Linked DNA regions of Elephas maximus indicus. The protein of the gene in region 1 purifies or fractionates together with the protein of each later gene. This does not show direct contact. Links are inferred from orthologs where the notes say so. Each region holds a gene or a part of one and is shown in the gene's direction. Other genes may lie near its edges.

Region 1 (7,471 bases):
GATGTGCTGTGATGTACTGTTTTATGATGTCTTTTTAAAGCAAATAAAACAACAATTTTCTCATTAGATATTTATAAAAAACATTTTGTCCAGTACTTCCCTTTAAGCCTCACTAAGTACAAACACGTCCCCTAGCTTATTGGAAGAAAAAGCCTGAGGAATTGTGAGTTTGAGATCAAGTCATGAATATGCACAGTGAATTAGACGATGCATGGTGTTTGCTCAGTCCAAGTGCTTGTTCTATGGTTTGTGGAAAGAAATGCGTGTTAGAAGGCCACTGCTGTATCTCTGAGAGCAAAGTGGTATTAATTTTCTTAAAAACAACGAAAAGACCAATTCTGTCATTAGAATAACAGATTTAATGTACATATTTATCTTATTTTTTTCCTACATTATATGGGCATTTAATGTTATCATTTGTGGATTCTTTGAGGTGCTCACAGTCAGTAGAGATTGTCTTCAGAACCAAAAGGTCAAATTAAAATGCAAAGATTGCTCATTTGCATCATCAGACTCTATGATGTGACCTTAAAGAGTGTTCTTGTAGGTATGTGTCATAATTTAATCATCTATCATATGGGAGGAAACCCTGGTGGCGCAGTGGTTAGGTGCTATGGCTGCTAACTAAAAGGTCAGCAGTTTGGATCCACCAGGCGGTCCTTGGAAACTCTACAGGGCAGTTCCACTCTGTCCTAAAGGGTCGCTATGAGTCAAAATTGACTCAATGGCAATGAGTTTGGTTTTGAGTTTGTATCATATGGGAATAACAAATACTGATGGCTTTTATAGGAAATAAACATATTGTTCACATATTGACTTAGGTATGTAATTTGCTACAATCTTTTCAGGGGACACCCTGACAGTACCTATCACAATAACAGATACACATACCCTTCAACACAGTAATTCCACTTTTGGGCTTTAACCTAGAGATAAAGTCACATTTAGGCCAAAAGATAAATGTGCAAGGACATTCACTGGAGCATTATCTGCAAGAGGGAAAACCAGGAACAGCCTACTGTCCTCAGTAGGGATACGGCTGAATCATTTATGGTACTGAAATCACGGGGAAGACTAAGGAGCTGTTAACAAGGATGTGGTGGATTTATACATTCTCACCTGTTAAGTAAGAATCAAGCTGCTGAACGATACGTGTGGTATGTCATACATGTTGAACAAAACACAAAAGAAATACGTTCGTAAGTGCATAAAAAAAATCTCGAAGTATACACATCATCCGGGAGATGATGGTTATCTCTAGGCAGAAAGGGGGGGGTTAGTATGTGAAGGAAGACTCCCACTTTTTACTGTAGATATTTCTGTATTGTTTGAATTGTTAAACATGACCAGGTATTTTTTTTTTTTTTAATTTTTAAAATAGTAATGAATAACAAGTGGTGAAAAAGGAATTTGTGGACTTCTCTTATTTCTGATGAATGTTATTTTGTGAAACAATGTTAACTAGTAGAAAGACCAAAAACATGGGTTCTAATATTGACTCAATCACTGTGGGTGGTATGTTTATGGGAATAAAGAGAGAGGAGAGAAACTAAGAGCTACATATACAGTAACCATCTCATATCTCATCAGGCTGTGGTGAGAATTCAGTGAAATATTGTACCAAAAAGTCTTACAGCTTGGTGGACTCCAAGCAGACATTAGAGTTTACTTACATTTTCTTATCCATATTCCACTCCAGGGTTTGAAATCCGTTCAATTCTAGCAAATAAAGGTAATAAGACAGTATTAGACAAATAATATCATACCTCGTGTTCTGATTTTGATCCTGAAAATACCGTGATGAAAGGTAATCATCTGTCCGTCACTCCTTTTTGCAGTTGTTAATGAGATAAATTTATAATGAATACTCCATCTTCTGCAGAGAACTCTCTGGCTAACTCTAAGCAAAATAGACAGGCCAAATATTTATACCTCATTCACTACAATCAGACAGATATGATCCTTTCAGGGGTGTGATTTAAAGATGGGATAAAAAGAGCCAAAGGAGGGGACAGCAGACTATTTTAACTTTACAAAATGCTTTATGGTTTACACTGCTCCTTCAGAAATATTATCCCATTAGATTCTTAACCCCAGTCTTCTGAGGTGGGCCTGGGCCACATCAGCCTCATTAAAAGCGTAAGAAGAAAACTGAGGCCCAAAGAGGTGAAGTTATTTATCCAAGCTCACATTCTGAGCAAAGCCAGGTCTCACTCCTCACTATTTTTATTCCTACTACATGGCTATCCAGAAAGTCAGTACCAGTGGCCTGGGGGGAAAAAATCTTAAAAAAAAAAAAAAAGAGGAGAGCCCTCATTTTCCTGTTAATACAACCTAAGTATCACAAGTGATTAGTGTATAACATCTTGTATGTCATTGCTGTTGTTAGGTGCTGTCACTTCCCACCCATACCAACCCTGTGTACAACAGAAAGAAACACTGCCCGGTCTTGCACCATCCTCACCACGGTTTGCTATGTTTGAGTCAACTGTTGCAGCCACTGTGTCAATCGTCTCGTTAAGGGTCTTCCTTTTTGCTGACCCTCTACTTTACCAAGTATGATGTCCTTCTCCAGAGACTGGTTCCTGCCGGTAACATGTCCAAAGCACTAAGATGAAGTTTTGCCATCTTTGATTCCAAGGAGCACTCTGGCTGTGCTTTTTCCAAGACAGATTTGTTCATTCTTCTGGCACCCCATGGTATATCCAATATTCTCTGCCAACACCATAATTCAAAGACATCAGTTCTTCTTCAGTCTTCCTTATTCATTGTCCAGCTCTCACATGCATATGAGGCACCTGAAAACGCTATGGCTTGGGTCAGGCACACCTTAGTCCTCAAAGTAATACCTTTGCTTTTTAACACTTTAAAGAGGTCGTCTGCCACAGACTTGCACAATATACATCATTTGATTTCTTGACTGCTCCTTCCATGGAAGTTGATTGTGGATCCAAGTAAAATGAAATCCTTTGCAACTTCAGTCTTTTCTCCGTTCAGCATGATGTTGATTATTGGTCCAGTTGTGAGGGTTTTCGTTTTACGTTGAGGTGTAATCCATACTGAAAGCTGTAGTCTTAGACCATATAAATGATATAAAAAAAATTTTTTTTATCATGTATTATACATATTTAATACTATCGTTAAGCAACGAACAAAAATCCTAGGTCTGAAAGTCACCCACTGTCATTTTCGTAAATCTAAGTCTTGGGTTGTTACCGGGCTTCTTTACTGGCTGGGGAGAGTTATTCTTCAGCGGTGCTTCGGTGTCAGCTATCGTCCATCCTGAGAGCTGCTGAAGAAAACTGCGTTGATTTAATAAGCCATTTATCAACCTCTTGTTGGCAGAATGGGCCTAGTAAGTTTTGGTGGGCTGCTGTTTCTTAAGCATAGCAATCGGTAAAGCTGATTTGGAGGGCACTTGGGGACAAACGACAGGCAACCATGTAAATTGTTACAGGCAACCATGTAAAAGAACATATACCTGTGACTTTCACAGAAAATACTATTTGATGATGACGTACGTAAAGGGCAGCTAAGCTGAAAAGAAAACCGAGAGTGGGGGCAGCCCAAGGGCACCAGGTGGGAGGCGGTTGGCGTGCAAGCTTACCCAGCAAAAATACTCGTGGTTAAAGCAATTACAAGGGTTACAGGGTTTAGTTCTTAGGATCACCCAAATGGCAGCCCAGGGAGGCACAAGTAAGATTTTAAAGAGATTCCTGCGCAGGAGCCGCTCGGCCATCTCCTCCCGGGCTCTGATCACGAGGCGCAGGGAGAGCACGCCCCAGCCTCTCCCAGCTACTCTCACCCCCAGACTCAGGCCTCTAAGGCGAACTGGAGGGGCTCGGGGCCACGACAGGTCTTCCCGCTACCACCCCGTCCTCGACTAGGAAACCGCCGGGGGTGCCCTCCCTTTTCGGGGCGCAGCCCCCACCCGAGGCCCCCGCAGCTTGGCGGGAGCAGCCGGGGGCGGGCCAGCGCGCCGGGAAAGCAGAGCGAAGCCGCCGCGCGCCGCGCTCAAACTCGCGCCGCCACCAGCTCCGGAGCGGCGCCCCACCCTCTCCGTCACCAAAGGCGCCCAGCCAATGAGCGAGCCGGAAAGGCTGAGCCTGCGGGCTACGCACGGGGAGGGGGAGCGGCGGGAGGGGGAAGGGAAGTGGGGGCGGGCTGCGCTTGATTGACAGCTCGCTGGAGCCAATCCTCCACGCGGCTTGTCTTGGTTCTCTACTCGGCTCAGCTCTTCGCCCCACCTCCCTCTCCTGCGGCCCCCCCCGCTCCCTTTCGACCCCCCCACTTCCCCTCCCCCACTCTGCGGGCAAATCGCGCTGGAAAGAGGCGGGGGCCGAAGCGGCGGGCTCGTGTGGAGGCTTGAGGCGGGACTGACGGCTGCACCGGCCAATCGGAGCTAGGCTGATGGCGCGGCTGTGGCGGGAGCCGGCCAATGGGCGGGCGGGCTGGGGGCGGAGGCCCAGGTTCCAAACGCTCCGCGGCGCCATGGGCTGAAAACTCAACCGAGATGGAATCTCCCAGTCTGAACCGGTTGAAACCGGTTCCGAGTTTGAGGCACTAGGAGGAGGGGGAGAAGCGGCTGCAGCGGCCGCGGCAGGAGCAGCGGGAGCTACAGCATCAGCAAGAGCCACAGTAGCGACAGCGCGGCGGCCGTGCCTGCTCCGTCCTCGCTGCCGCAGTCCGTGCCGCCGCCCGGAGGGGAGGGGGGCCCCGGTCGCTGAGGAGAAGGGGGGAAAGTTTAGGCGAGCCTCGGCGGGGGCCCGCGCCGGAGCCGCGTGAGGGAGCCGCGCTTCGGCAGGGGGAGTCGGACTGCACCTGGCAGCGGAGCGTCCCCCGCCGTGTGGACTCTGCGCCCTCCTGCCGCCGCCCGGGCTGCGGGGTCCCCGGGGCTGAATCTGTGGGACTCGACCGCTCCCCTCCCCCTCCCGACTCCCCGCGGGCGGGAGCGCCGACTCCACAGACTAATTCCCTTCTTTTTGGGGGGCGGGTGGGTGTGTGTGGGGGGAGGTGTCCCGGAATTGTAAATATTATTGAGCCTTTTTTTCGCCCTTTTCCCCGTTTTTTCGGTTTCCCTTTTTAAGGTGGGAACACTGTGAATCCCACCTCGGCCCCTCTCCCCTCCCGCCTCCCCTGCCCTCGCCCCGACAAGGAAGGAAGCAGCAGTTGGTTCGCTCCCTGGGTAAGTCGGCCGGCGGGGCGGCGGGCGGGCGGCGGCGGGCGGCGGGCCGGGGCCGAGCGGAGCCGCGATGAATGGAGGCGGCGGGGCGGCCGCGTGTGCGGCGGCGGGGAGCCCGGGAGGGGAGCCCGGGAGGGCACGGCCGCCCCGGCCCCGCGGGCTGCGCGAAGTTGGGGGACTGCGGGAGGACCTCCGTAGGCTCTGAGGCGTGGAAGTTTCCAGAAACATGTAGTGCAGCAGCCCTGAAGCGTCCGCCCGCGTCACGTGGCCCTCGGCGGAGGCTCGGGATCGGGAGGGACGGAGGGAGGGGCTGCGAGTCCCGCTTCTCCTGGCGGAAACTCGGCGGCTTTGTGGCTCTGCGGAGCGGCCGAGGGCGGCTTCGGGGCCGGGCCGCGGCGTCCCTCGTGGGGCGCGGCGTCCCTCGTGGGGCCGCAGCCTCGCGCGCCCGCTTCAGGGCCGGCGGGGTACCATGGGGGATGCCCTGCTTCTGCTCCCTTCCAGCAGCCGAGTGTGGGGTGGCGGGAGGGGGGAAGTGGTGTGGGGAGGAGGCCTCAGGCTGGGCCCGGCCCTGCTGCCCTCCCGCCGAGGCCGTGCTGCGGAGGGCCCGGGGGGCCTGAGGCGGGAGGCTGGGGGCCCGGGGGTCCGCAGACCTCAGCGCCGGGCGGGCCCTTTGGGCACCTCGCTCTTCGGCCCCGTGTGGGCTTGTCACTGCCGCCGTGACGGTGTTCGGGGTCTGGGGCGGGAGCTGGCGGCGAGCTGCCCCTGTGGAGCCTGAGGTGGCGGTGGAGGCATTTTGGCAGTCACTCGTGGAGTCACAGCTATGTCGGCTGATCCCTGCGACGTGCCATCTATGCCATCTAGTGAGTGGATCTTAGGGTCGCGGCGCCCCAGGAGAGGAGAGAGCGTCTGGGGTGTCTGTCCTTAGGCTCTTGCTCTTGGCTGGCTGCGGGATCGTGTATCCTGAGAGCGGGGCGCCGCTCTCAGTGGAAGAGTGTTTGGGGAGCCGGTGGACTTGGGGGACGGAGTGCCTGGCATTTCTGTCCTCCGACGGCTCGGGAGTAGGCAGGTCGCTGGGAGGACCCCGCCGGCTGAGGGCGGCAGCTGCCCGCTGTGAACACGGGTCTTCTCAACCTGCTTGTCCGCCCGGGGGCGCGGGGGACTCCTCGGGGACGGGAACCTTGGGAGGAGTCGCTTCATTCCTGTAAAAATACCACAGGTAGAGCTGCATAGAAAAGTAAAAGTTTGGTTTTCAGCCCCCCCCCCCCAAATTAGAAAATTTATCATGTGTAGAGTTTGGTACTTTCTGGGCAGTGCTTTCAGGTCTCGATTTTTAAGATATTTCTGACCTAAAGTGGGGGAAAATTTACGCATTTCTTTGTGTAGTGTTCTGTTTTTTTATGTTACGTGTTGAGTTTTAAGACTTTTTTTGGGTATGACAGGTATTTTGCTGTTTCAGAATTGTGTGTGATACCTGTTATAAAAAAATATGATGTCCCGTCAGTTTTAGTTGTCAATAATGGGCCAGAAGACTTCAGAAGAATAAAAATGTCTTGGAACTCTTAATATCTCGATGTTTACATTATGTCTGACTTAAATGACTTCATATTTTAGACTAATAGTTGTTGTAATTGAAATTGCTGTTATTGTTGTTAAACGTTTTTTGAACTACTGTGAAAGAGCCTTAGAAATCACACCTTTCCCCCTGTCAAACTAGTTTGTCTAAATATAATGCCATCAAATTATCCACTGTCTCCTGATAATGGAAGGTTCCTAAGAGGGGAAGAAGTGGAAGTGGCCATCCGCCCTGGTTGGTTGTAAATACCGTAAACCAGGGGTTCTTAACCTGGAGTTTTATGGATGATTTCGAAGTGTTCTGAATCCTCTAATTTTATACAAAATTGTGAGGTTTTTTTTTTTTTTTAATTGGGCAAGAACTATAGTGTTCTCTGATTCTAAGGCATCTTGACCCAAAAAAGGCTATGGAGTTGAAGGGCATTAAGTTTGAAGAAAGCAAGCTAAGATGTTCTATAACACTGAGCAACCAAAATGTGCCTGAGTTCCAGCATGGTGGAGTAGAATTCTCTTAAAAGGGTAATGTTGCGAATAAACCAGTAGGTTTTAGCCAGTGCGTTTATTAGAGGCCAAGTAATGATGTCTTTGTTACGGTATGGTTTGTTTTCATTTGGAAAATACATAGTTGGTGAACTGAATACCTGGACGTTTTCTCAAATCTCACTTGGCCACAAAGTTTTCTTTTTCCTAAACCATGTATTCAAGGATTTTATATAC
Region 2 (7,097 bases), on another chromosome or scaffold:
GTCAAAAAGTAAACTGGAAGGAGGCAAGTAAGATGATTTTTGATGGTATCCAGATGTTCACCGAACTGTCACCAATTAATAGGGAAGGGGTGGGGGCCTTAGGTAATTTATATGCTCTTGATGCACTATTATACCACAATTAAATGAGTAAATTATGACATAAAAAATACATATTCATATAATAAAAAGATGAAAATTGAAATTGTATGTATACTTTGTTTAGGATTATGTACAATACCCGTGCTATTGATGCATATGAACAAAGAATAGAAGGACCCAGAAGAAAAGGAAACACTAGTGTGGGTGTGAGTGTGGGTGTGTGTTCACTGGAGTGGTGAAATTGTTAGGTGCTATTGAGTCATTCTGGACTCACAGCAACCCCATGGTAGAATAACTGGGGGTTTAAGGGTTTTGTCTCTTTCCACTGATGTAGTTGATTTGATTCCTGTGTATTCCATCCAGTGAGGTTCACATGTATAGTCACCATTTATGTCGTTGAAAAAAGGTAATTACAATGAAGAAACTGATGGTCTTGCAAAATTCTGTCATGCGATCTCTGGTAGCGTTTCTATCATCAAGGCCATATTTTCCAGCTACTGATCTTCATTTCCAACTTTGCTTTCCAATCACCAGTAATTATCAAAGCATTTTGATTGCACGTTTGGTCAATTTCAGACTGCAGAAGTTGGTAAAAATCTTCAATTTCTTCATCTTTGGCATTAGTGGTTGGTGTGTAAATTTGAATAATAGCCACAATTAGTAACTGGTCTTACTTGTAGGCGTGTGGATATTACTCCTATCACTGACAGCATTGAACTTCAGGATAGATATTGAAACGTTCTTTTTGACGAGGATTGTGATGCCATTCCTCTAAAATTTGTCATTCCTGGCATAGCAGACCATATGACTGATTCAAAATGGCCAATACCAGTCCATTTCAGCTCACTAATGCCTAGGATATTGATCTTTATGCATTCCATTTCATTTTTGACAACTTCTAATTTTCTTAGATTCGTATGTCATACATTCCACATTCTGACTATTGATGGATGTTTGCAGCTGTTTCTTCTCATTTTGAGTCATGCCACCTCAGCAAATGAAGGTCCCAAAAACTTTACTCCATCCACGTCATCAAGGTCAACTCTAAGGAGGCTGCTCTCCCCCAGTCGTCTTCTGAGTGACTTCTAAGCTGAGAAGATCATATTCTGGCACTATATCACACAATATTCTGCTGCTATACATAAGGTTTTCACTGGCCAATTTTTTCAGAACTGTCAAGTCTTTCTTTCTAGTCTGTCTTAGTCTAGAGGCTGCACTGAAACCTGTCCACCACTGGTGACTCTGCTGGTATTTGAAATACTGGTGGCATAGCTTCCAGCATCACAGCACAACAAACTAAGCCACCACAGTACAACAAACTGACAGAACAAGGCCAGGGGCTGACTTCAGAACAGACCATCAATTGCTCATATGCAAGTTCAAGTTAAACTCAAGAAAATTAAAACAAGTCCACCAGAATCAAAATAGGGCCTTGAGTATATCCCCCCTGAATTTAGAGACTATCTCAAGAATAGATTTGTTGCACACAACACTAATGACGGAAGACCAGACGAGTTGTGGAATAACATCAAGAACATCATACATGAAGAATGCAAGAGGTCGTTAAAAAGACAGGAAAGAAAGAAAACAGAATGGATATCAGAAGAGACTCTGAAACTTGCTCTTGAACCTCAAGTAGCTAAAGCGAACAAAAGAAATGATGAAGAGCTGAACAGGAGATTTGAAAAGGCAGCTTGAGAAGACAAAGTATTATAATGAAATGTGCAAAAACCTAAAGTTAGAAAACCAAAAGGAAACAACATGCTCGGCATTTCTCAAGGAGAACTGAAGAAAAAATTCCAGCCTCGACTTACAGTATTACAGAATTGTATGGACAAAATACTGAATGATGCAGGAAGCATCAAAAGAAGACAGAAGGAATACAGACTCACTGTACCAAAAAGAACTGGTGGATGTTCAACCATTCAGGAGGTAGCATATGACCAAGAACTCATGGTATGGAAGGAAGAAGTCCAAGCTGCACTCAAGGCACTGGCAAAAAAGAAGGCTCCAGGAATTGATGGAATACCAAATGAGATGTTTCAACAAACTGATGCAGTGCTGGGAGTGCTCACTCATCTATGCCAAGAAATTTGGAAGGCAGCTACCTGGCCAGCCAACTGGAAGAGATCCATATTTGTGTCCTTTCCAAAGAAAGGCAATCCAATAGATGGCAGAAATTATCAAACAATATCATACACAAGTAAAATTTTGCTGAAGATAATTCAAAAGCAGTTGCAGTATGTTGACAGAGAACTGCCAGAAATTCCAGCCAGATTCAGAAGGGGATGTGGAACCATGGGTATTATTGTTGATATCAGATGGATCTTGGCTGAAAGCAGAGAATACCAGAAAAACCTTTACCTGTGTTTTATTGACTATGCAAAGGCATTTGACTGTGTGGATCATAACAAATTCTGGATAACATTATGAAGAATGCGAATTCCAGAACACTTAATTGTGCTCATGATGAATCTGTACATAAACCAAGAGGCAGTAGTTCGACAAGAACAAGAGGATACTGCGTGGTTTAAAATCAAGAAAAGTGTGTGTTAGGGTTGTATCCTTTCATCACACTTATTCAATCTGTATCCTAAGCAACTAATCCAAGAAGCTGGACTATATGAAGAAGAACACAGCATATGGTTTGGGGTAAGACTCATTAACAACCTTCCATATGCAGATGATACAATCTTGCTTGCTGCAGGTGAAGAGGACTTGAAGCACTTACTGATGAAAATCAAAGACTACAGTCTTCAGTATGGATTACACCTCAACATAAAACAAAAATCCTCACAACTGGACCAATAAGCAACAGAGAAAAGACTGTGGTTGTCAAGTTTTCCTTTTACTTGGATCCACAATCAACACCCATGGAAGCAGCAGTCAAGAAATCAAAGGAGACATTGCACTGGGCAAATCTGTGAAAGACTTTTAAAGTGTTGAAAAGCAAAGATGTCACTTTGGGGACTAACGTTCATCTGACTCAAGCCATGGTATTTTCAGTCACCTTATATGCATGCGAAAGCCAGACAATGAATAAGGTAGACCGAAGAAGAACTGACGCCTTTGAATTATGGTGTTGGTGAAGAATACTGAAAATACTACGGACTGCCAGAAGAAGGAACGCATCTGTCTTGGAGAAGGTACAGCCAGAATACTCCCTAGAAACGAGGATGGGAAGACTTCGTCTCACGTATTTTCGACATGCCCTGGAGAAGGACATCATACTTGGTAGAGGATCAGCGAAAGAGAGGAAGACCTTCAACAAGAGGGACTGAAACAGTGGCTGCATGATGGGCTCTAGCATAGCGTAGCAAAGTGTTTTATTACATGGGGTCGCTGACTCCACAAGAGGGTTTTGTTTTCTTAGACATTACCGTTCTTGACAACAGGAACTGGCATCATACAGTATTCTTCACGGGCCTTTTCTTTGTACGGAGCCACTCAACGGCAACTGGTTTGGGTTTTTTGCTGCGACACTCAGGCTGCTAACCAAAAGGTCGGGGCTCCAATCCATCAGCAGCTACTAGGAAACCATATTGGGGCAGTTCTATTCTGTCCTATAGGGTCGCTATAAGTCGGAACGGACTTGAAGGCAACGGTTTTTCTTTATACAGGCTTTCTGGTTCACAGAAGCGCACGTACATATTTAATATGACACGCGGTAAGTTACAAATAAAACGAGTTATTTCAGTGTGAAGTAAGGTAGTGAAGTGAGGGCAAAACAGTTTTACTTTGAAGAACTTACGGATTTAAGGCACTACGAGGCAGGAGCAGGGAACTACAAATACAACGCGGGAGGTTTAACCACGCCGGAATAGGGCTGAAACACAGGGCCGGCGCGACGTGGCGCCGAATGGTGACGTTTTCGCACCTGACGGATCGGACGTCATTCTCGCGCGCCTCCGCTTCCGGCCCGTGTGAGTGACGTTTTCGTGCCGGCGACAGAGTCTGGCCGGTGTTGTCTCGTGGTCTTCAGTATCTTTCCTCGTGTCCACCTCCTGCCCCCGGCACCATGGCCACCGACTCCTGGGCTCTGGCGGTTGACGAGCAAGAAGCAGCTGTCAAGTCGGTCAGTGGATTCTGCTCAAAGGGGCAAGAACGTAGCAGAGGCCCAGGTGGACCTGGGCTCGAGGCCCAGAGAGAGGGAGTGGTAGAGCAGGCCTTTGGCCAGCACGACCTGCACTGCTGCCGTGGGGAATAACTGCGCCCTAAATTTGCTTCTGGAAACCCTGGTGGCTTAGTGGTTAAGAGCTACTTCTGGTAATAAAAAGGTCGGCAGTTCGAATCCTCCTGGCGCTCCTTGGAAACTCTACGGGGCAGTTCTACTCTGTCTTATAGGGTCACTGAGTCGAGTCAACTCGATGGCAGTGGGTTTGGTTTTAATTTGCCTCTGGGGCTAAAAAGACCAACATTGAGCTTTTGATCATCATCTAATCCAGTTAAAGACTTGTTGTTGTTAGATGCCATCTATTCGTAGCGACCCCATGTGACAGAATAGAACTGCCCCATAGGATTTTCTTGGCTATAATTTTTATGGGAGCAGATAACCCGGTCTTTTCCCCGCGGACCTCCAACCTTCAGGTTAACAGCGCAGCGCAAATATCTCTTCACTGTATATTATTACCATTCCTGTGTTGCACCTGTTTCCCAGTGGCGTTTGTAAACAAAGGCAAATGTAGATGGTCATTCTGTTTCATTGAAATAACACATTTACAGGTTTAGATTTAATGTCTCAGTGTACTGTAAAGGTAAGATAAAGTTTAGATTTGTTTAGAGACAATGGACTGTTGGTAGTGACAATATAGACTATTTACTGAAGACTTTTCCTGTAGTCTGAAGCCTTCTGTAGCTTTTTTTTTTTTTAATCTACTCAGTGTATTTTTTCATTGTACTTCAGATGAAGGTTTACAAAGCAAATTAGTTTCTTTAAACAGTTAATACACATTGTTTTGTGACATTGGTTGCCAACTCCACTACATGTCAACACTCTCCCCTTCTCAACCTTGGGTTTCCCATTACTAGCTTTCCTGTTCCCTCTTGCTTTCTTGTCCTTGCCCCTGGGCTGGTATGCCCATCTAGTCTGATTTTGTTTTATTAGCTGTCTGATCTTTGGCTGAATTCTATAACTTTTTAATGCCTAAATTACGTTTCTTCTCCAGCTATGCTTTGTTGATTTGGGAGTACTATCAGTTCATCAGCAGATAAATAAAATGGGTTAAACCTGGTGGAGTATAGGAAGAAGCTTTATAGTCTTAGCCAGGAAGACTACAATGTGGGAAGTGCTATGAAAGAAGTAAGAACAACATCTTAAATGACCTCTGAAGAGGGAGAGGACATTTATGAGTGGGAAAATGCTGGAAATTTCTTGTGAAGAAACTTATATTTGAGCTGGATTTTAGAGATCGAGTCATATTTAAGATAGAGATGACGGCGAAAGACATTTTAGGAGGAGAAAATGTGCCAAAGTGCTGGACTTGCCTAGAGAACAGGAATCAAATAATTTTGGCTGCAACTTAAGGTGATTGGTTTGGAGTGGGGCAGTATAGAAAATATCGCAGGGAGTATACTTTAGACCTTGACTAAAAACTGAAGGAGAGGGGGCTTTATTTAGTAGGCTTGTGGTCCAGGGCTTGATTTGAGTATTCCTCAGAACCCGACAACATACCTTTACAATACCATCTGAATATCACACTTTACTCTTCCAATATAGAAAAATAGTTCTCATGACAGTGGAGAGTTGTTTGCAAATTTATGAATTATTGCTCTGCTTGCAACTTAGCAAGTTTGTATTGACTAGGAGTACGTGGCCAGGAGTAAAGGAGAAATCATTTTGTTCAAGCTTCTGTAAGATTTTTAAATCAGGAACTTGGGTTTGTCAATACTTTCATTATAAAAAATAAGTTTCTCCCTAATTTATAATCTAGGAGGTTGATAAGACAAGAAAGAGGGCTGTAATTTATTTGCTGAGTGTTGCCTGAATACAGCATGGGTTTTAGGGGTTAAAAAAAAAAAACCAAACTTATGAGATATTTACATCGTATCATTCTTTACCTAGAAACAAGCTGTGTTTGTGCCTTTGAAAGTTTATATTTGATATATGTTTATTGAAGGTTAGATGTCCTGGGAAGAGCATGAGTTGGGAGAAGAGCAGAGGTTTGAGATTGCTGACATACTTTTTCTTCCTACTATTACATTTAGTTTGCCCTTCCCCCTGTTTTTTAGGCTGTAGAAGAGATTTGAAATGATGTTTACACCCAGTCAATTCTACATCAAGCAAAACAAACCTGGCCCCTGAAGATGGGTGTTGAAGTAGCTCCTGCTAGGCTTTTACTAGAGACCTCCCCTGTGCCCAAAAGTCTTCCTTTAACTGGGTCACTTGCTTAACTCTACTTCCTTTCATTCCCATTCAGCTGAGCAGCTTGCAGATCAAGGAAGAGAAAATCAAACCAGATACCAATGGTGAGTGAGTAGTAACTACAAGCCAGGCACAAGCTACACATGTGCTTCTGTTTTGCACTCATTGCTGCAGTGTGAATAGGAGTTTTCACTTAGCCCAACATTTGGTAAATGATTAGAGAGCACTGGATTAGAGAGCCAGTAAATTAGGCTTAATTACTGAAAGGGATGTGTGATGTTTTCCAGATTTGATCCAGCCTCTCATTCCTTAAATCCAACAATCAGCACTGGAGTATACTGCTACTCTTTACTGGAGATGGTTTCTTTGGAAAATTATTTTTGTTTAATTTTTTGAAAGATAATTTGGGTCCAAAACTCAAAGTATAAAAAGTTGAAAGCCCTTCTTCCCATTGTGGTCCCTCATTTACCGAGGTCCCACTCCCCACCCCATCCCATAAGTAATCACTGTTATTTGTCTTATTAATATTCTTTTGAAGTTTCTTTAAGCAAAAGAAATATAAATATAGATTTATATTCCCATTTTCTTTCTCACAATTAGCAAACTGTTTGCTAATATAATGCTGTATTTTAAATAA

Evidence for each region.
Region 2: the proteins of XPO1 (region 1) and ATP-dependent RNA helicase DDX19A fractionate together in Homo sapiens (co-fractionation; 3 studies listed by BioGRID, with this or other methods). This does not show direct contact. The link is inferred for Elephas maximus indicus from reciprocal best matches to the Homo sapiens genes XPO1 and DDX19A.

The regions. Positions count from the first base shown.
Region 1 is NC_064844.1:728,721-736,191, forward strand, and holds the start of XPO1 (exportin-1), read left to right. Parts: upstream 1-4,458; 5' UTR 4,459-5,185; intron 5,186-5,819; exon of another isoform or gene 5,820-6,042; intron 6,043-7,471. UniProt on the Homo sapiens protein: Mediates the nuclear export of cellular proteins (cargos) bearing a leucine-rich nuclear export signal (NES) and of RNAs.
Region 2 is NC_064839.1:40,154,189-40,161,285, reverse strand, and holds the start of ATP-dependent RNA helicase DDX19A, read left to right. Parts: upstream 1-4,032; 5' UTR 4,033-4,117; coding exon 4,118-4,174; intron 4,175-6,515; coding exon 6,516-6,564; intron 6,565-7,097. UniProt on the Homo sapiens protein: ATP-dependent RNA helicase involved in mRNA export from the nucleus.